Linked DNA regions of Styela clava. The protein of the gene in region 3 interacts with the protein of the main gene of each other region in a pairwise test. Links are inferred from orthologs where the notes say so. Each region holds a gene or a part of one and is shown on either strand. Other genes may lie near its edges.

Region 1 (7,765 bases), on a different chromosome or scaffold from region 3:
ATTAATTTGCTGATTATTAACACTGCTATATACTGACAACAACATTTAGAAATGCACTTGTTGTAGCGCAGGTTCTAATCGCATGGGAGATAACTTTTTATGTCTTTCTCTCTCAAAAAGACTCTGGATAAGTGTCCATGGTATCTAACGATATGTAAAGAGCTTTTTTTTTAAAACTTTCTGGACTTCTGCTTGTTTACTATTTTGAAATTGTCTTACAGGATGGTCGTCTTATTGAAGTATTGTCTGGACGGACAGAACCTGTTCCACCTCCAAAATTTGTTGTTCCTCATAAACCTGAAGTTATACTAAAACTTGTGAAAGAAGCAGTAAGTAGTGTCATGTCTTCTATCGACTAATTATCAGTTTTTAAATATAATCAGTGTAAAATCTTATTTATTTTGATGAAGATTTCTATGCTCAACCTAATATTCCATAACTGCGGTTAAAGACTATTTAGTGTTCATTTGCAAAGAAAACCTATGAGTCCCACTTCACATACCTCCCTTAACTTTCTGTCTGAAATTTAGACTCGGATTATTACCATTAGAAGAATAAAATCTAGACCGGACAGAATTAAAAAAAATTCCTTCAGTTTGATAATACAGCTTTGAGTACAATATCAATAAAAACTTGTCAAACTAGGATACCACAGCCCTGCAGACAAATCCTGCATTCTTGACTGGTTATGTCTTTACCGTGTTTTTAGAGTAAAGAAAATAACTCTTATTTTCAGACAAACTACTATTATTCCAAGTTTCTTGGAGGAGAATTGCTAACAGACACTCAAATTCCTGATTTCCTTTTCAACGTTTCATCCGATGATTCTTCCAAAGATGAAAATTCCGATAAAGAAATTGATGAGGAAAAGAAAGAAGCCGATCTAAACGCAGATCACATATTCAAGACAAGTCTCTTCGACATGGTAATTTTGGTTACTGCTGGCTTTCGTGAGAATGCGATTGGCCCAGTCACAGTATTCGTAGACACTATACCAGTAGATATTTTCAGGGTGGACTGTTTCAAAATTTTGTGAAGTAGTTTTACTGGAGTGAAATTCAGGTAGGTAAAACAGTATGGGAAAAATACACCCGACATTCCTGAGTTGATAAAAATTATTTGACTTCCTCTCTTGAATTCTAATTTAAATAAATTCTGACTTTGACTCCCGCTGCAAGTCTTCTTTAATTGCCCTTCGAAAACGCTCAGTCAGGTTACTGCTTTTTGAAATTTTAACTTCTGGCTCAAGAAATTTTGAAATTGCAACTCATTTAGTATGACAAGTAGGGCTGTCCAAAATCGAATACTTTTTTGATTCGAATCGAATATTTTTGCCGAATCGAACCGAATAATCGAATACTATTGCGCAATATTAAATCTGTCTCTATTATACAATAAATGTCTGCCCTTCGATGTTGTGGTAACGTATGTGCAGTTACATCTTACTTACTGCTGGTATTTTGCAATACAATGTTTTCAGATTTATGAAAGGAGATCTGTATATATATGCCTTTTGAAATTCTCAAATTACTTATATTATGCGAGTCTTGTTAATGAAATGGGTTTTTACATATTCGTACCAAGGTTTACTGGGAAATAACATTAAGGTTATGATTGCTTGACAAACTCTGTCTCTTAGATTGCAATTCTTTAAAAGACTGATAATATACTCTATCCATCCTATTGTAGGTTCGAGAATTGATCACCGAAATATATAACATCAAATCTTCAACTGAGGAAAACTTGAAACGACCATTATGGCTTAAAAAGAAGACAGTATGTCGGCCATCATATTGCAGAAGGATGCCAGAAACTGAGGATGTAAATATAAGTCTATTAACAATTTTTCTGTCCTGTGAAAATTTCATGTATTATGAGTTTATACCTCGTGATTGTGTAAAATTGATCACATATTACAAAACTTCGCTTGCTGTCTTAATTACAGCAAAAATCTGCTAACTTTCTGAAAGTTACTTTCTTTATAATTCAATGGCTGTTAACCTGTTTAGCACTTTCTACTATTTTAGCAAAGTTTCTTACGGCTGTCTTTGTTCATTGTCAACTGGCTGTTCAATGTTTGGCGAAATAGTAGATAATTCACAACGAATATCCGATTGGAAGTCAAATTAGATTAGTGTATTCGCCATCATTTTTTATGGCTTTTGCTTCAGATCCCCCCCCCCCAAAAAAAAAATTAAAACGAAAAAATTACCCCCAGGTTAGGCAATGCTGGTATAGTTTTTGATTGTCATAGTGATCCTCTCTATTCTTATTGCCGATTATTTTATTCTAGGAGATTGTGAAGATTGTCAGCAAGCAGGTTTCCAAACTGTTAAATTTGAGCAATGATCCTCAGAAACTCGATCCAAAGATAACAATGAAGTGGGGCAGTCGAAGAAAGAAGGATAAAGTCGATCTCATCTTGGTAATATGGATAATTGTTTGGTTGAAGGCTTCATCTTTTTCTCTTCCTCTTACCCTGAAATGACCTCTGCTTCAGGATCAAATGACACATAATGGCTGCTTAATAATAACAGGGATTACTGAAACGTATTAATTTGAACTACCGTAATATTTTCAAATATGGAAATTTCAAATATACTTTTCAAGTTGGCCAAGTTTGACAAAGAATTCTTAAAAGTCTATTTATTAGGTTATTTAGAATCTAGATAATTTACAATATTTAATTTGACTTTTGTACATTTGTGCTCTGAAGAACCAACTGACTCGTTGTTGACTTCACAATATGGTATTCAATTGACTCTCAAGTTGGTTCTGACCCTAATTTAACGTTTTTCATATTAGTTTTTATTGATTTTCAGATTCAAGAACTCAGGGAGGAAGAACCTGAATGGACGAATTATGATGAAGACGAAACAACAGTAAAAATGCAGTTGACTGATACTGTTTTAGACATGTTGGTTTCAGACACTGTACATTGTCTGAATAACATCCAACAAAAAGTAACAGATAGGAAAACTAAAGATGAACATAACGACCATGATCCAGAAGAACGCAGCCTGTGAATTTTTCAATTGGAATATTACAGTGTCAAAAATAACTTTATGATAATGCGTAGGACCCGTAGCATGCGTTTATACTACATTAAAACTGATTCTGATCAGAAACGCAAAAAAAGGTCACAAATACATTCAGGTATAAAAATGCGAAACTGTACAATTAAACTTGAATGCACGTTCTTATGAATTCCTTCAACACAAGGTTGGTCCAAAAATATCTAGCTTAACCTTTGACCCATACTATGATGAACAAATATGTTTAGCGTGGCTATCTCAGTAAAACCCATTCTAGAGTTCTTCATCCAATTTTCACTGTGAGAGAGATCATTTTGTATAAATAGCTCATCTGTATCATTTGTAACGATTGTTACAAAGATCACGTTTTTATCTTTTCATAAAGGCTTTGGCTTCATAGTTAGAAGATTTTTTTGTATGCCTAGATTTGAGAAATATGTTATTGAAACTATTATTTGGTTCATTGCTTTATTATCGCTTAAACATTTTATACAGTGCCTGTATGTGTCAAAATTTGTATGAATTTTAATATAGTTTTGTACAACTGTTACAAGGTTTGTTACTGAAAATGATTTTAAACTTCAATGGAAGCTGCGTTGGGAAAATAGTTTGTTGCAAAATTAGAATGCTGGGTACGGCACACCAAAAAAAGTGCTAGATTTGCGTAGTACTACGTCTGCGCAGTGCGAATTTCATGTTTAACAAGGATATCCTTAGTCATATGTTATGCAGTTGGTGAAGTTATGCCGGACAACTTTGTATATATTGATTGTTTCAGTCTCTGGGAACTAGCGCAAGCATAGGATATGGCGACATTCCAGACAGCGCGGTAATTTTATATAGTATTGCATTACAATGTGTCAGGTCTTCTCACCTTGATGATCACCAGATACTGTATGTATGAGTTTTTGACTACATAATCAGCATAACAGGCATTAAATTGATTGATGGAAACAAGTAAAATCTGTAAGTGAGTTAGAATAGCAAACAAAAACTTAAATAGGGTTTAGAACGTACAGAATATAAGATGGAAGATTTTTCCATACGTGTTGACTTACCTAAAGGTATTTCACACACGCACATTCAGCCATACAGAAATTATTAAGTAAAAACGCCATGAACTTAAAACAAATTGCACGGTAATCAAAAATATTGAAAATGAAAAATTACCTACCACAACCTATTAATCAATTTGTAATGGTCGCCAGTGCCGAATTGATCGATTTTCTAAACATGAGTGAACAGTAAGGAAAGTTTATATTTTAATCGTTTCCTAACCATTACTGGCAAAATCTGATTTTCTGGTGGTCAACTAGTTTGGTAGTGTTGTATTCATAGAGCAGCAAGTCTCACAGTCCAAAAATTCTAACCCCCTGGATCAGAAATAATATGTGAAAGTTACGACATTTTTGATTAACTTAATTGTTCCGCTGATAATTTCCAACAATTTTGGTATCTTTACAAGGTACACTTAATTTCTTCGCAATTATATTTCCAAGTCAATGCATATGAAACAAATAACTGGGCCATTCCCTGTCAGAGACATGTAACCGGAAGAGTGGCTATGGTTCGCCATATTAGTAATTCATATTGTCGTCTTCTCCACCAAGCCGGGATAAATATGAAAATATCATTACATGTTAGGTCATTTCAATTTTATTAATTTCTACTATTTTTGTTTTAAAATACCGAAAAATCAAAACAAAAGGATATACGGTAGAAGTCGGATATGCCCACCCTTTTACCTTGACTCCGTGACCGCAACTTGTACGCTGTTGCTGTAACCTTTGCGCAAAAGTTTTTTGATTGCTGAGAGCCGCAGCCGACTTGAAGGAGCAGAACTATGTATGAAGAGGTGAGTATGTAGACTGCAGATAAAACCCTAGTATCTTTACAGTATCTAGGTAAGGTGCATGTGGAGTTGCCGGTACCTTACCGACTGGTGTTGAAATGTTTTTTTCAGTTGGTTCTTAACGCAATCTTGGATGAGGATGTTTCGCCACAAATTTTACTTGAAAAACTCAATAATGAACTTCGATCTGGAAGCGCAGATATTCGTAGTTATGCTTGGTTTCATGGTAAAGTTCCTCGAAACGTTGCTGAAGATTTAGTCATGAAAGATGGAGATTTTCTTGTTCGTGAATCAATAACTAGTGTCGGAGATTATGTTCTCTCGTCCAAGTGAGTCCAATTTACTTTATCATAAATAGGGAAAATTGCTGTCTAACGTTTGCTATTAGACACAAAATGTCAAACATTATTTTTCAAACATCATAATTATATAAAAAATTAAAATGGACCAAGTATGGTAGGCTATTCGTGTCGCTTGGTCTGGAAATTTTATCAAAATTTAAATTTATTATTCTACATAAATAGTAATTAATAGGAAGCAAATAGGTATGGAACATAGGTATGTGATTTAATATTGATCTATTTAAACGACATACAGCATACATGTAACGCTTTACAATAAATATGGGTAATGTATTAAACAAGTTGCTAGACAAATAAATGAAGGCATCATAAGTCAACCAGATTATTGAAATTACAATTTTTCGGAAACTCAGATAGTCAAATGATTTCCAAATTAATATTTTTATAATGATAATGCCTAAAGATGCATCTGTACCAAATGTGTTGAAGCAAAAAATATATACATTTTGGATCACTGCCTATAACCCGCCTATTACCGTATTTACTACAGGAATATTAATTGTTTGTTTGCCAAATTCCTAGCATGATGTTAGTGATTGACCTGAAATGTTTACATAGGATTTCACACTTGGGTGTAACTTGGTACTGGGATTAGAGAGTTTTCAATTTGGAAATATTATAGGAATTCGGAAACATCTCACTTTTGGGAGTGGAACTTAGTTCCAGAATAGCTGGATGAAAAATTTTGCAAACTGCTGATAAATTTAAAATAAAATAAAGAAAAAACTTGTTTTTCTTTTCAATAATGAAGCTCACAAATAGGTTTATATCAACTTGTGTGTGTGTGACTTGCATGATGATTCGAAAAATGCCTTCGTTTTCCACAAAGTTCATTTGAAGAAGAATGATTAGTTCTTATCATTATCATCTTATCTCTTCTGCAACCATTTGCTGTGATAGGTGCTTAGGGCATGTTACGATTTGTAGGGTCCGCTTATATGCGAATTTTTATAAATTCATCGTTTTAGGGCCATTATCAGGGGCTCTATGCGAGATCGGTCGGCTCATATGCGAGATATGCTTATATGTGAGGATGTGCGGTAAATTGATATAACTAAAATATTACAACATATGTTTTGATGAAATACTAGTTCCTACAAAATGCCTGAACGAAGCCAAAAATAGGAAAATAGCCCGTTAGAGACCTCTTTATTCTCATCTTTATTTAAGAGCTGATAAATTGAATAATTCGTTAGTTAAATAAATTTTAAAATGCTGCAAATTGATTGGTAATTTTTAGTTAAAAATTGCTCTTATAATAGCTACCACCTTTATCATGAGTGATAATTTGATAGAAATATCAGATATTATATTTTATGCAAATCTACAATCAGTTGGAAGAAATATTTGGCCCCATAAAGTAATCTCATTTCTTACTTTTCAGGTACAAAAGTGCATACTACCATTTCAAAATCAATAAGATTACTGTTCAACATACAACAACATATTCAACTACTCAGTATTGCTTAGAACAGCATTCATTCGAATCACTTCCAGCTCTTGTGCATTATTATGTGGAACAGAAACTACCAGTTTCCAAAAGAACAGGCGTCATATTGGGACAACCAGTGAATAGATCAGTGCCTGTCTCATACTCTGATGTAAAATATGCTTCACTGCGTCGCCAACCTAAAGGAAATGCAACACAAGTTGTTTCAACTACGAGATCACCTGATGGTATAATGAATGCAGCTCAGCAGCCGACTCCTGCTGTAAGAAGTCCTGTATCACAGATTCCACCCCATCAAAGAAAAACAAGTGACCCATTACCAAATCTACCAGATCGTGGAGTTATCAATTATAACGGACAAACTTCTCCGAATTCAAATTATCCTATGTCTCCTGGATATAGTAATACTTCTAGCCCATTTCCTTTAAATATTTTTGATAACAAGGAGAATGTTACATCTCCAATACAAAGGCAAAAGGATAATGAGGCACAGATCTGTGTTGTGAATCCAGTCACAAATCGACCAACGAGTCAGGTGGATTTGAGCATCAAGAATCATGGACAGAATGTCCCGAGATCAGGATCTGATCCAATGCTCAGTCCTTCAAATCTTAAAAGTCGTGCACTTCCTGGTTCTCATAATATGAATAACAACAACTCTAAATTCAATTTTCAGGTATTTTTTTTTACATCAACCCGAGATTTCAACTTGTACTGCCATTAATTTTTAGTAGTCTAATGCTTTAAAACCAATGGGCCAACACTAATGAATTTAAATTTTTTTTTTTATCAATACTCCAAGAAGGTAAAAAAGTTTAAAGTTAATAAAGAATGTCAATGTATTAGTAACTTGTTATTCTCTTTGTTTCTTATATCTGGTCATAATAGTTTAATACGTTTGAATTAAATTTGAATTAATAATAAATCATTCTGTAGTAAAATTCTTTTTATCGGGTCATATGTTGAAAATTTTTCGAGTCTGTCAGAAATTATTTATTCATTTCTGCTATATCTCTGGATGTCTTTCTCTGACTAATTATAATTTTAAACTGGAAGTGTGAGTAAA
Region 2 (6,978 bases), on a different chromosome or scaffold from region 3:
GGTTACGGCAATTGTACTCAGGTACTTGGGCTACTTTGTGCTATTTTGTACGCCACACCGCCGAACCCCCTGTTACTAATATAACACTCTCTGAGTGGCATTCCCTTTCAAACTATTTTGAAACCATGAAAAGTACCGAGTCATAGAGCGAGCTGTAATCAGATAAATTCATTGCAATATCGTTATTCAATTCCTCCTCTTCAAATGATTTCCATCTATTATAGGCCTCCAGAATTACAGATACATTATATGATTGTATGATAGTTTATTATATCATGGTTTTCATACTTAGTTACATTCTTTATGGATACCGAATTATCAGGAGGGTGAGTCACATGTCAAAGTCATCATCATATCGATCTTCAATTCTTTCTCTCTTAAATTATTTTCATATATATATATATATAAATATATATAAATGTTATCATCTTTTAATTACTTAAACTATTTTCATATATATATAAATGTTATCATCTTTTACTTACTTTATTGGCCGTAATTTTCAACAACGTTTTTGTCCAGGACTTTAATCATGCCCGATCCTTACATTACGCACTGTGATATTCGTCAAGAAGACAGTTCCACCAATTCCGCGAGAAATAATGTACCGTTTCAAGACTATTGTCGGAGAGATCGTCAAAGCCAACTGTATCCTTGTACTGAAAATATCACATAACTGGTACTGTATCAATAGGCGTAGTCAGTGCGGGGGCCTGTGGGGCCATACCACCGCCACTCCCCAAAAAATCAACAATTTTGTTCAAACAGAATTTCGCGGCATTTGCAGTGAGATATAAATTCATAGCCCTCCTTTCCAACGCCATTTTGCTCTATTCCTAAACGATTTACTGAAACCGGACATTTCCTGGTTTGATAACAATAATCCTTTCACCAAATGAACCAAACACCAAGATAGATAAATATGCGCGCCTATATGTATTTGACAGCAAAGTACGTCAGTAGAGCAATTCTCGAAACGATCCTTACACATTCAGACGACACATTATTGTCACTTATAAAACTTTCAATTTCCCTGTGATCTTATCCCTTATATTTTATCGTGTGTAAGCACAAAAGAAGATTCAGAATATATTGAAAGTGTAAATTAATATACTAAATAATAATATATTTGGTATGGAATTCTTATTTTTTGCTCTTCTCTATTTAAAATTTATTTAAATAACTTCCTAGTCCCGATTAGATATTTATCTCATATCTAATCAGATATCATTTTTTTACATAGTGTATGTATATATTTTTTCCATATGTATATCTTGAGAGTGTAATATTACGGGATCTACATATTTATCCCGAGGGAGAGGAAAGCCGATAAGACGTCTTAATCATATGGCGAACCACGGCCTCTCGTCCGGTTACCAGGTCGGTATGGGATTAGTTAGCCAGTTATTTGTTTTCGGAAGCATGGACTTGTGTTATTAATTTATTTATTCATGTGCTTGCTTTAGCTGGTAACCGACTCAGATGACTGTTAATGGTCGTATCGTCACCACCAAGTCATCTACCGAAACCTAATTTTTCTCATTTTGCTATCATATATAACAGTGGCGGCGCGTGGTCATTTTGACAACCAGGGCAAGCTACTGCGGGACCAAGTCACCCCCATCTACGGGGACAAGATGAGCGCTGTAAGTTCGCCCATCATTTTATGAGTATAAAAACCATTCCATCGGTAACAACCAATCGGCAAAAGCGACAATTTTTAACGATAAGAAAGTGTCTTTAAAACCGGTCAAAGTCAAGGGATTAAAAAATATAGACATAGTTTATTTTGAAACCTCTTTCAAAAGGAAAGGCAATGTTTACCCAGATAAATACAATGACATATTAACAGAAACTTCGCGAAAGCAGACAAAACCTAAAATAAGGTTCAAAACGTTACTATGAAGAAAGGAAAGTTAATGCAAAGATAAGGACATGCGTCGCTCACTCATAGATATATATGCTGCTAGACTTCTACTGCTTGAACATATATGCAACACGCCGCGGTTTCTTGGAAGCAAAATGCTCAATAACGCGCTGATTAAAGTCATGCAGAAATAACGTCTCTGTGAATGGATAAAACAGCCAAGGAATTTAATCTATCTTGCTTCATTGTGTTTCTGAGATACGTTTTAATATGCTTCAGCGTGCTGAATGTTCGCTCTGCGTCGGCGGAAGAAATAGGCGTCGTCAAAATGATGTCCAAAAATTTTGCAGACGCCGCAAAGGTAGTTACTAGAGTGTTATCTATGAGGAACCCATAGAGCGCGCAAGTTGATGTGATGTTCAAAAAAGTTTGATTGGTGTATATACATCGCAATTCATTTTCCAATTTACCCACGTTTATCATGGGGTAAAATTTGGAGACAGTAGCCAACAAATGGATGGGAAATTGACGTGCAAATTTTGAAAAATTTTTGGGGTTCATCAAAGAGAACGCGGCAAGGTGTTCAGTGCGCAGACGATCGCCTATTTGATTCACCAGAATGTCACAGCATTCCTTTGCAGACAAAATCAAACGCTGCGTTGTTTGCCCGCGGCGTAAAGAAGCACTCCATGTGTCGTCGTATTTTATTGTTTCCCGGATACGAGATACAGCATCGCAGAAGTCTGAAATACACGACTGCACAGACGCTCCATCCATTAGCCTTTACTGCAATGCGCCGTATAATACATCCACGTGATAGAATATTGTGGAGAAAAAAGCGAGAAAAAATGAAAACTCACCATCTTCTAGCAGAAGCTTTACCCCTGCCGCCTCAATGCGTGAATATGTCAACACGTTGTTGTAAGAAACGTCGGCATTGTGTCGTCATAATTTCGGGGCTAGCCCCGATCGGCCCCGATGATTTAGTAAAAGAAACAGAAAACAAACGAGACAAACGCGGCGAGTGGAAGATAAGAGAGAATAATGAGCAACCGGGGCAAAATCGGCGTCGCCCCGTCGACGTTCGGCGAAGGCTTTGCGAGCGAAAAATGAACCATGTCGGGAGAATATGGCTAGTGTAGACTGTAGACAGTCTGTGCAACCAATATTGAGGTATTTTTCGAATATTTTTTATTATACCGAAAAAACAACCGGGGCATTGCCCCGGTTGGCCATATTGACGCGCCGCCACTGATATATATATATATTGTATGTGTTTTCTGGTTTGAAGAAACAATAAATTCTCTCTCTCTCTCCTAGGTACATTTCGATTCATCCGGGATCGTGATTTGTGTCATCACGTGGAGACGCTATAGAGCATATTGCAAAATTGTGTCTACTCTAGTAGTCGATGACAGCGGTGAATGTCAAATTCTTTATTACTAAGAGTTCGTATTTTCGGTTCTACGGCAAGTTTACATAATTACATTAATTGTGATAACAGGAAAGGTAGATAGTTTTGAACTAATTTGAAATCATGTATTTCGATAACCAAAAATATCATATTCATGAATCCAAATTGGCAATGGATTTTAATTTGGCCACCCCCCCAAAAAAAGTAGATAGATAAGTTGTTGTGTTTCACTTTTTTGTATAACTGCATCTGCATATCTATGTTTTATATTACTGTATGAATTAAAGAAAAGCGTACATACTGTACTGAAATATGAATGTAGGGTAACTTGACCGTTAGTTCTAATGCTACCATAAATTAATTCATATTTTTATATCTGACACAATTCTGAATGTTTTTCAATTATCAAATTATGAAATTGAAGTGCTACTCGATCGATTCTCACAAACTACAATTTTTTTAGGATATGTAACCTTATTAGTCAGTCCAGCATATACGGTAGTTACTGCATTGTCATACAGTCATAATATGAACTATCCGTGTCCTGTTCCTGAGCTATTCCTGTACCGGTACTGCGGAACTCATTCTTTTAACACAGTGACGTATTGACGGTACCAGTTCGCTAACGCTGTTCGTTTATCTAATAGTTTGTGTCCTATTTTCAGAATTTGAAAGCCATAGTCTGAGAGTGCTCACATAAACACAGTAACAACTTATTTCAGTACGGTATTTTATCATCAAGCAACATTCGAATATAGCGACAGATGAAAACGGGAACAGAAAATCTGTTTGAATCGTCTGCTTTCCTGTTTTTGGGGTAACAGCACTGCAATAACTTTGACTAGAGGAGCTGAGGATTGATTTGAACTAGCTCTTTGAATAAGTTTTTTGTTATTCAAAAATCTGTTTCACATTTGTGAAAAATTATACCATTTAAAAGTTGGGAGATGGAGGATTTAGGTAAGTGAAATTCATACATTCAATTTGCACTGGTCATACTTTTTGTCTTCTGCAATCTATGCTCGTGAGGACATAACAACTGAACAAGGGTGCACTGTTACATATTACACTGCTGTAGTCTGACAATGTATTACACTTTCTATTTATTATTTTTATATATATTTTGTGTGAGTGGTATACTCGGATAATTCTGTAGCAATTTGAATATTTATTCCTTTTATTTATTTATTAGTTTTACATTCACAGTAGTTAAAAAAACTAAAGTTGAGATTTATCAAGTTCGACCATAGCAAAGGTAAAAAACTAACATTTTTAATACTGCTCGAAACACAAAGACCATATGTCACAAAGTTAATATTATCAAACATACTTGGATTAAGTTGAGTAAACATTACCGCTATCATAATTATTAATTGCTTTCGGTATGTGGGTTATTACTTGTCAAATTATTAATTTATCAAAAAGGAAGTTATCAATTTTGTAGCTTCCTGCTTCTCTTGGTCAAGTAAACAGATTGAAAGGGACTTTTTGGTATGTCCTAGCACAGGGGTGCGGACCTATTTTAATGAATGGCTCAAAAATAGATTTTTATTATGCAACAGAAGACTGCGGTCATATATACTTAATCAATGTCTGTGTCAATCAGCTTTTGCATCTTTGACACAAGTCTTAAAAATCCTTGGTTGGTATTGTGTAGTTTTGAGCTTTACGAGTGTAGCACTTATATTAGAATTGAGGCGATTTTATGCAATTCGTGTTCGAAAGCACCAGTATGAATTACCAGAAAATGTTTTAGTTGTTAGTTCAAGTCTATAAGGCATAGTTTCCTAAACGTCATTGTGTACTAATAAAGAATAGACTGCATAGTGGCGTCTGCTCTTGTTGCCCACCCATACTCTTATATATATGTTTAAATGAAGATAACAAGATAATTAATTAGGTGGTTAATTAGGTACCAGTAACTTATAATTTAGATTTGTATTTATTCCTAAAACTTGTTTTGAATAGTTAACCTCATGTGTTTTGAAACTGATTCATTATGTACCGAGTACTGCAGAGAAAGTTGAGTCTTGATTCGAATATCATTTTCAATTATTATTGTCAACTTATTATATTCAAAGAGTCTTGTTGTTTTGAACAATATTTCACAAAAATTATATTCTCTTCTTGTCTGCTATCACTTGTGTGTGAGAAATAAGCAGTGATCAAACTGATTGCTTTTATAAACTATGAAGGAAAGTTTGACCTGTTTGACGGTGAACCTGTCAAGTCAATAATTATTGTAAAAAACATACTGAAATGCAAGTGATGAACATTTATAATAAAACTGGCCTTCATTCAATCTAACAATAAGTGAACTACTATAAATGTAGTTTACCTACAGTGGTGCAGCCAGGGCTGCGATTATAGGATGGAACCCACATCTCGGTATTAACCAGTCCCAAATTTGGAACTTTGTAACGACGAGCTACGTGTTACGCTCATTTACGAATGATAACAATATCATGCACATTGAACACTAAAAATAAAACAGAAGAGGATCATAAATTTTGTTTTAGGAGTTTTGAGAAAGTGAAAAAAGTTGTTTTAAGCACGCTAGTTTAGATACTATAAATCGCAAAGATTTTATGTACTGCACAGGAAATAAGAAACACTTACACCACGTGCAATGTGCATTTTCATATATTGTCGGTTTCATATTACCCTATTAAAATTACCACCACCAATTTATTCCAGAATAATCCAGATCCTGACAAAATGGGAACTATTTATTGGAAGATTTATTCAATCACTTTTCTATTTTACTTAAATGAATTGTATTCCTTGATTAAGATTCTAGTTGAGGTAAAAAGCTTTATTATTTAACGTAGTCGTTGTTTAGGTTGAATGCAAATGTTATAGAATTTCATTTTATGGGTTATTCCTTATTTACGGCTGTGGATCATATATTTTCCAAAGCAAAAAGGATCAATATCAGCTGAAAACGTTACCTTTTTTTACTATTGTTGTAATTGCTGTGATTGTCTCAAAATTCGCTGCAAGGGAATTACCACAACTTGGTATTGTTATTTTTAAAACCCCCATTTCGAATGGCCAGTCTGCACCCCTGTGTACTGTTTTTTTGGGAGACTACCCCCATTATCAATAATAAATACTAAACTCTCAATTCTCTCAATGGATAGATAGTATTAGATACTTCCTATTTTCATCCTTCCCTTATAGTCTTTTGAATACCCCTTTTTCTAACGTAAATTACTAGTATTGTCCAATTCATAAACTAGTGAATGAAAAATAAATAAAATGAAAAATCTTTTTTAAAAAGGGAATCTAAATATGAATTCCACTTATTTACGTAGTTGGCCCAAGTTTTTTTGAAATTATCCATAATTCTGAATATGAATACGAGTCTCGACCCACTACATATCATCTCCTGTTATTCGGAAGGACCTATTAATTACCAACAAAAATTTGTTATTGATTGATAATTGATATGAAATTTGATATTTCTCTAATTAACTAAGATCCTGTCGCGGACCCGGCAAAATACATGTAGGCTATATATAGCCTATAGTTACATTTTTAATAAAACCAGGGCAATCGAAAGTTCACATCTTTGGTTAAAACCGCTGTGTCTACCCATGCGACAGCCAAGTTATTTTGCAAAACAATATTGATATGACCGCAATATAACTCAGAACGTATGGGATTATTTTGTTTTTGCAAATGTTTTGTCCCT
Region 3 (7,231 bases):
ACTGTTTTCTTACATTAATGTAAACGAGAGCGTCTTCGGAGCACCTCACATTATTGTAAAAGTTGCGCGGCCGTACTTATAATACGGTCTCTTCTAACGCACCGCTAACCACGCGCTTCGGTTTTGCACGCCCTTCAACGTTACGCCCTTATTATTATCGCATGTGTTCTCACTTTTTCACAACCTAATTCATTTTTGTTACAATTCAATGTTTCTCCCATTGCCAAAATTATTTTCGTGTTATTGTCGGCAGTCGCGAGAGAAATGAAAGTGGCAAACAAACTGTATTTCATTACAACAATTAATTATTATCGCTTAAAGCCTTAAAATACTAAATAGGTTTAAAGTTGTTATAAACAATTTTCACAGCTATACGTATCATTTCACGTTATGAATTTCGTGTGCAAGGCCCAAGCATAATTTGATGGCAAAGATCATATCATTTACTATGTCGAAACGCTTTTTCGACTTTACAGACCGCAAAAACTATCCGAAAAAGATAACCATTTTTGTGTTCGATATATGAAATAATTGTCCATTCCACCACGCTTTCGTGAAGTAGTGCAATTTACTACATTTATGAAGGTTTTATTAAGTTTCATTGCATCAGTGTTTGGATTACCTCGCGTTTCGCCAGATTACTGGCATGATTACAGATCACAAGGGTGGTCAAAATAGTATATTTTCATTGAATCGAATAATTTGTCGAAATCGAATAATTGTCGAAAATCGGGTTGAATTGGGGGTTTTATTCCGATTTTTAACTTCTGAGTCGCCTTTGATCTTTCTTGTCATCGTTTGTAAATTAACCTTCCCAATTTTAAGCTAAATATATTATCATTTCTGACGGCGGAATGCGGATATTTATGAAGACGATAGTTCACCTTTTTGATTTTACTTTTCTAAAGTGTGATTGCTTTATTTACGTATTAAATAAAGAATAAAAGCCCAGCAAAGTCATTGCGTGAATACTGAATGCTATTTTGAGTTCAAATTATGATTAAATAAGTCGGCAATAATGGCAATTCTACTAGTCAAATAATAATTTCTTTGTACAATTTGCGAAAAATTTCGCACAATAATTCCACTTCCACTCAAACTGTAAGCGTGAATGGTTATTTTTCAAAATAAGTATTAAATAAAATGGTATACCCAACCATTTGTGAGAATATCTATATGTGGATAACAAAATCTTATAATCCCGGGATTTTTTGGAAATGATTGCGGAATGCGGATTGAAAAAAACAGTCCAAATCCCGGGATTTCCCGTAGTCTCAACCATTGTACCTGCTTCGAAAAGTTCGCTGTGCGTAAATGTTGCTTCAACAGTCTTTTTATTATTATAAATCTAATACTTACTTAACTTATGTTAAGTTGCATGCACAGTACCACGGTCTATTTGTCGTTTGGGTTGAGTACCGGTACCGTACCTGCTAGTGGTGCACTCATACCGGTACTGCAGTATCGTCAGAGGACGGATATCGTGTCAAACTAGTCTATCGTGTACCTTAAAACACTGACATATTACAAAAAACCTACAGCATCTCTAGTACAGCATCTCTTGGATCATCTACCGCCCAACCACATGAGAATACACTGCAAAATCGCAGCATCCCCCCAAAAAGTGGTCCTGGCAGCAGTCGTCATGCCCTGATGAGTCGTATGAAAGTCGGTAATTGTCAACCGTGCCAAATAAGTAAATCATTCATTTCCACTTCTCCACAATTTTAATGTTGTATGCTAACACTGTTCAGTAGCTGAATTGTAGTATACTCTATATATAGTTTGAGTTTTTTTTTAATAAAAACATCACTTTTTCACACACGATAACACATAAATCCAATTGCACTTAAAAATATGAGTTTATGATAACTTGCCACCTCTTTAAGTGGTTCGACAATTTACATTTTCTAGTTGCAATAGTTTTTTCACAGTTATAAACACTTTTTATCATATATAAAAAGTTTGAAAGGTTGAAGCGCTAAGCAACATTTTTTTGGTTAGCAACAACACTTTACTAGAATGGTTCACAGATTGTGTGGACCAAACTTAGATTGCTGTCACCGAGGTTTACTGAGTAGTGCTACTTGGTTGAAAGTCTTTGTAGTAAAACCAAAATTGAACATGTTGTTAATCTTGAGTGCGATATTTATGCCATAGAAAAAATAACATCCTTGTAAATAAAAGTTACCGTACCCGTCACAAGATTTGACCTCTCTTTCCCAGAGTGAATTAAAGGTAGTCGCCGTTAGGCTTCGCTAAAGAGCAGTCTTAAAAGTCTGATTTTGTACGCTGATTTCAGTAACGCTGGCCGCCTGCTTTTCCTCCTACTTTCGTGCACTTTTTAGCAGTCTAGGACAGATTCACGCCTTTGGTGTGTTAGTCTGTTAGTAGACACCGGTAGCCTGAATATAAGTATGTACCGTAATGTAAATGCCGTAGAAAGTGAATTAGTTGTCTGTTTTACTGCACTAGTCTATCAGCCGATCGGTTCTTATACTTTTTCTTTATAGACTGCCAGTACGGTCTGACGGTACCGGTACCGGTCTGGTGGGCGGTGGCTGTCAATTTGGCTTTTCATCTTCTTCCTCCTAGCTGCCCAGAGAAAAAAGGAAGTAGTGGAAAGATTGTGAACAGTTTGATTATATAGTAAAGACTTCCTCCTCGTGAAAATGAATATTCCCTCCAAACCAGGGCTATTGAGTCGGAGATAATTTACGGTACGGTACAAGCTCAGCAGTATCAGGGTGTGGCGGATCATGCTACTGTCTGACTGTGCTAGGTGTCAGGAATACGCTCACCACCAGTACCGGTACGGTACCTTATGTGGCTGACGGCTAACTCGCCATGAGGGCTAACTCGCCATGGACCACTCGCCATGCGACGGCGGTTAACGGGTTAGCCTGCAACTGTGCGGAGGCTCTTCTTGTAATGGGAGATGGAAAGGTGGCTGTTTATACTAACAACTTCAATAGTAAGGATAAATATATTAAATTAAATGTGTTTGGTTACAATACCTACTGTGCAAATGGTAACAATGGTCAATTATAAAGAATAAAGACATGGCGAGTTAGCCCTCTCTCGAACTCGCGATGTCGATCGTCAATTATAAAGAATAAAGACATGGCGAGTTAGCCCTCTCTCTCTCTCTCTCGAAATGGCGATGTCGATGGTCAATTATAAAGAATAAAGACATGGCGAGTTAGCCCTCTCTCTCGAACTCGCGATGTCGATCGTCAATTATAAAGAATAAAGACATGGCGAGTTAGCTCTCTCTCTCTCTCTCGAAATGGCGATGTCGATGGTCAATTATAAAGAATAAAGACATGGCGAGTTAGCCCTCTCGAACTCGCGATGTCGATCGTCAATTATAAAGAATAAAGACATGGCGAGTTAGCCCTCTCTCTCTCTCGAACTCGCGATGTCGATCGTCAATTATAAAGAAAATAGACATGGCGAGTTAGCTCTCTCTCTCCCTCTCTGCTCGCAATCAACGGCTGTTAGAATAAAATGAGACTGCCGGTAGCAAAATAGAACTTTTGATATATTTAGCGTTGTTGGTTATTCAGAGCTCATACAATCAATTAATATGATGATATATTTAGCATGCTTAGATGAAAATGATAAGTTGAGACATCCTTTGCGCGTCGAGTACCGTACGGTACCGGTATGCCTTCCGACATATAAGCACGTTTTCTTGTCACTTTGTTACCATTTGCACAGTAGGTATTGTAACCAAACACATTTAATTTAATATATTTATCCTTACTATTGAAGTTGTTAGTATAAACAGCCACCTTTCCATCTCCCATTACAAGAAGAGCCTCCACACAGTTGCAGGCTAACCCGTTAACCGCCGTCGCATGGCGAGTGGTCCATGGCGAGTTAGCCCTCATGGCGAGTTAGCCTCCACCCCCTTATGTTACTGGTACGACACAAGTCATGTACCGGTACGGTATCTCCTGAGATGATTGTTTCTCCGTGATTGTTTTAGTAAACTAAATGCCGGGACATCTTGGAATCAGAGAACTGTGGCTTACTGTCTATGCTAAATTCTAGTTCAAAATTACGGATGGCAAACATATTTTAAACTGAACATAGACCAATAAAAACCGCTGTGTTTCATTGTCCTCTTCGTTACCGTATTTTTGACTCCTGTCTACAGGACTAAGAAAAAAATGTTTACACTTGATTCAAAACTTATTTTTTCTGTATAGTTTGGCTAAAATGTAAATTATATAGGTTTTAATATCCTATCCATTTTAAAATTTGAATTGCAAAATGACTGCTGGCAACATTCTTGCAAAAGCATTGTATGATAATTTGGCAGAGACAGAGGATGAACTTAATTTCCATCGCGGAGATATTGTTACAGTTATCGAGCAAAATACTGCAGGAATTGATGGATGGTGGCTTTGTTCTTTGAATGGCCGGAAAGGCATTGCACCGGGGAATCGCTTACGCTTGATGCCCTTAATGCAAGGTATTTCGCAACAAACTGTTTTGGAAAAACCTTTGATAAATGTGGAAGATGAAGAATACGATATCCCAACTCACCAGTATTATAATCAGAATAACAATAATAATGACCCTAATGATGTTTATGATGTCCCGGTTTCGAGGCATTTCGGGTCACGACCGGAACTCGATCTTGACCCTGATGAGGTATATGATGTCCCACCAGTTCATGCTACATTGCATACATCAAACATTCAATTGAGCAATGAAAATTTACTAACGTCTTCACCTCAACATCGGACGGTTACAATTGAACAAGAAGTCTATGATGTTCCTTCTAATCTAATCGCTCCTGCGAATATAAGCAACATAACCAGTGAGTATGATCCATCGGAAATTTATGATGTGCCACCAAATCGGTCTTTAGAGCCCGAGGAAGTATACGACGTACCCGTGTCTAATAAAATGTCAGGGCCTGAACCACTAGATGTCAGTGCAATGCTCGTACAACAAGAGGAAGACGAAGAAGAATATGATATTCCTCCGTCACGTCCGTTTGGCCAAGATACGGTCGATAGCGGTTTGATTCCAATGTATCAAGCTTCAACTCCTTCATCGAAAGTGGTTAGCTCCGATCGTCTTGATTCACCGGATTTAATTTACGATGTCCCATCATCTAATCGTTCAGCTGGTGATGTCACAGATGGGAGTTTGAATTTGAGCAGCGTTAGCACAAACTCAAAATTTCATCCTGGAAATCGTAGCTTGTTGAAACAAGAATCTGAAGACTATGTTTACGATGTGCCGCCACGAATCACACGAGAACCGTTATCAACTTCACAACAGACTGAAAACGAGTCACTAGATCTCGTCATCAAACGTCTATCTCTTGTCGGTTCAGCGGAATATAAAAATGATCGTAAATCAACTTCATCAAGTGATTCTCTTTCTAGTATTATTGCAGCGAACGCCAACTATACGGAGTTGAATCTGGAGTTATCATCAGCCATTGACCAACTTATAAAATTGAAACAGTCTCTGGAAGACAGTGTTTCGGTGCTGTTAACCCACGTCTATGAAGGCTGGAGGTTAAAAGAAAACATTTCTGGCAAAATTGGTGTGATAAAAGGAGTTTTCGAGGTCGTTCTATCAGCAGTTGGGCAATATGTTGAATTCGCAAGAGGAGCAATGGCTAATGCTAATGCAGCCCAGCAGCGAGGTCTATCTGTAACTTTACCCCGAGCTCTTATAACAGGGATGCATAAACTTTTGCAACCTCTGGAAGAAGATAATTTAATGTTACAGCAAGCGTTTACTGCATTAGATCAAGCATATTGGAGTCTTGGTAAAGTAGTATCAAATGATCCAGACTTCGGGGTCCCTGATGAGATTGATAGCTTCGTTATGACATCCCGTGCTGTGTCAGACGATGCTCGCCAGATAGCTGCGTTCATTCACACACACTCGCAATACCTTTTCAAGAAAGTGGAGACACGGCCTCCAACTGCTTTTGAGAATTACAAAGCACAACAGATTATTCAAACAAGGCCTTTACCAGATCTACCTCCCCAAAAGCTACGGTCTCCCACTACTATTATCACAAGACCAGATGAAGACTCCTGGCTTGAGGATTATGATTATGTTGCATTGGACGACCAGGGTCAAGCCATACAAGATGGTACATTCAATAACAGCAATTCAAGCGTGATCAACGAGGTTTCAATAAAGGTGAAAACGCGACATATCGAAGTGTTACAAGTTTTGGAAATGAGTAATAAACAACATGGCGTCCCCAAGATTATCAACGGTAAAACAAACGAGAATAACTCAATAACTAATGACCAATTTACTCTCCAAGACATGGTTGAAGATTTACCAATTCTTGTTGAAAGCCTTGTATCAGCAATAAAAGGATTTTACTCGTGTTTGGATAATAACGACCCGCCGAAAACATTTGTCGCACTTAGCAAGCAAGTTATTCTTTGCGCCCACGAACTTGTCTTTTTTGGAGATACTTTATATCGACGGTTACACCATCAACAAATGCAAGATATAGTTAAAGGACATTGCACAGAAATATGTACTTCATTAAAACGAACTGTTGCGGCAACTAAAAATGCAGCCCAGCAATGGCCTTCTGTAAATGCAGTGCAGGAAATGATTGACAGAGTCACAGACATTTCTGCATCAGCACATCAATTTAGAATTTTACTCAGTCAGTGTTCTGTAAGGTGAGCAAAAATCATTGTGGCAATTAAAACTTTTTATGTATAAATCAGTGCTGTGGACTCGCGATTGTAAAATCTTGACTCCAACTTCGGCTCAAAAAATCAAATTTTGATATCAAACTATCGCATATGCAAGGTACTTCAATTACCGTAATAGACTTGCATTGAGACATCTTAGTAAACTTGATGCTTTCTAAATATCCAACTCCGGGAAATTTCGACTTGTCATTTAATTTGAATGTATAACCCCGACTTCACAGCTGTCATGTGAGTACGTTTCCCTTGGTAGCATACCTATACTTGACTTACCGTAAATCAAGGTCAAATATGTGCCATTCTCAAAACCGTTGCGCAACAAGTCTAGCACCTATCACTTGTCTTATTTTTATGGAACATGTGGTGCTAATTTAAAACCTTCATTTCAGTTTTATATTTTTTATTTCAAACATAATTGAATGATTTATCAAGAATATTTTTGTCAATTTACATTCGGTGCATGGTTTTTTTCTGTCGTGTCTATATTCTCCCTAGTTGAGGAAAGCAAT

What was found. The genes of interacting proteins can lie anywhere in the genome.
Region 1: the proteins of enhancer of filamentation 1-like (region 3) and breast cancer anti-estrogen resistance protein 3 homolog interact in a two-hybrid assay, tested with the Drosophila melanogaster proteins (2 studies listed by BioGRID). The link is inferred for Styela clava from reciprocal best matches to the Drosophila melanogaster genes p130CAS and CG9098.
Region 2: the proteins of enhancer of filamentation 1-like (region 3) and paxillin-like interact in a two-hybrid assay, tested with the Drosophila melanogaster proteins (2 studies listed by BioGRID). The link is inferred for Styela clava from reciprocal best matches to the Drosophila melanogaster genes p130CAS and Pax.

The regions. Positions count from the first base shown.
Region 1 is NC_135254.1:11,557,239-11,565,003, forward strand, and holds the start of breast cancer anti-estrogen resistance protein 3 homolog, read left to right. Parts: upstream 1-4,733; 5' UTR 4,734-4,878; coding exon 4,879-4,890; intron 4,891-4,998; coding exon 4,999-5,216; intron 5,217-6,633; coding exon 6,634-7,375; intron 7,376-7,765. Other genes in the region: centrosome-associated protein 350-like, read left to right, coding at 222-329, 737-925, 1,690-1,821, 2,294-2,425, 2,823-3,026.
Region 2 is NC_135252.1:7,085,531-7,092,508, reverse strand, and holds the start of paxillin-like, read left to right. Parts: upstream 1-3,946; 5' UTR 3,947-4,228; coding exon 4,229-4,241; intron 4,242-6,978.
Region 3 is NC_135250.1:27,720,964-27,728,194, reverse strand, and holds the start of enhancer of filamentation 1-like, read left to right. Parts: upstream 1-4,187; 5' UTR 4,188-4,281; coding exon 4,282-6,693; 3' UTR 6,694-7,231.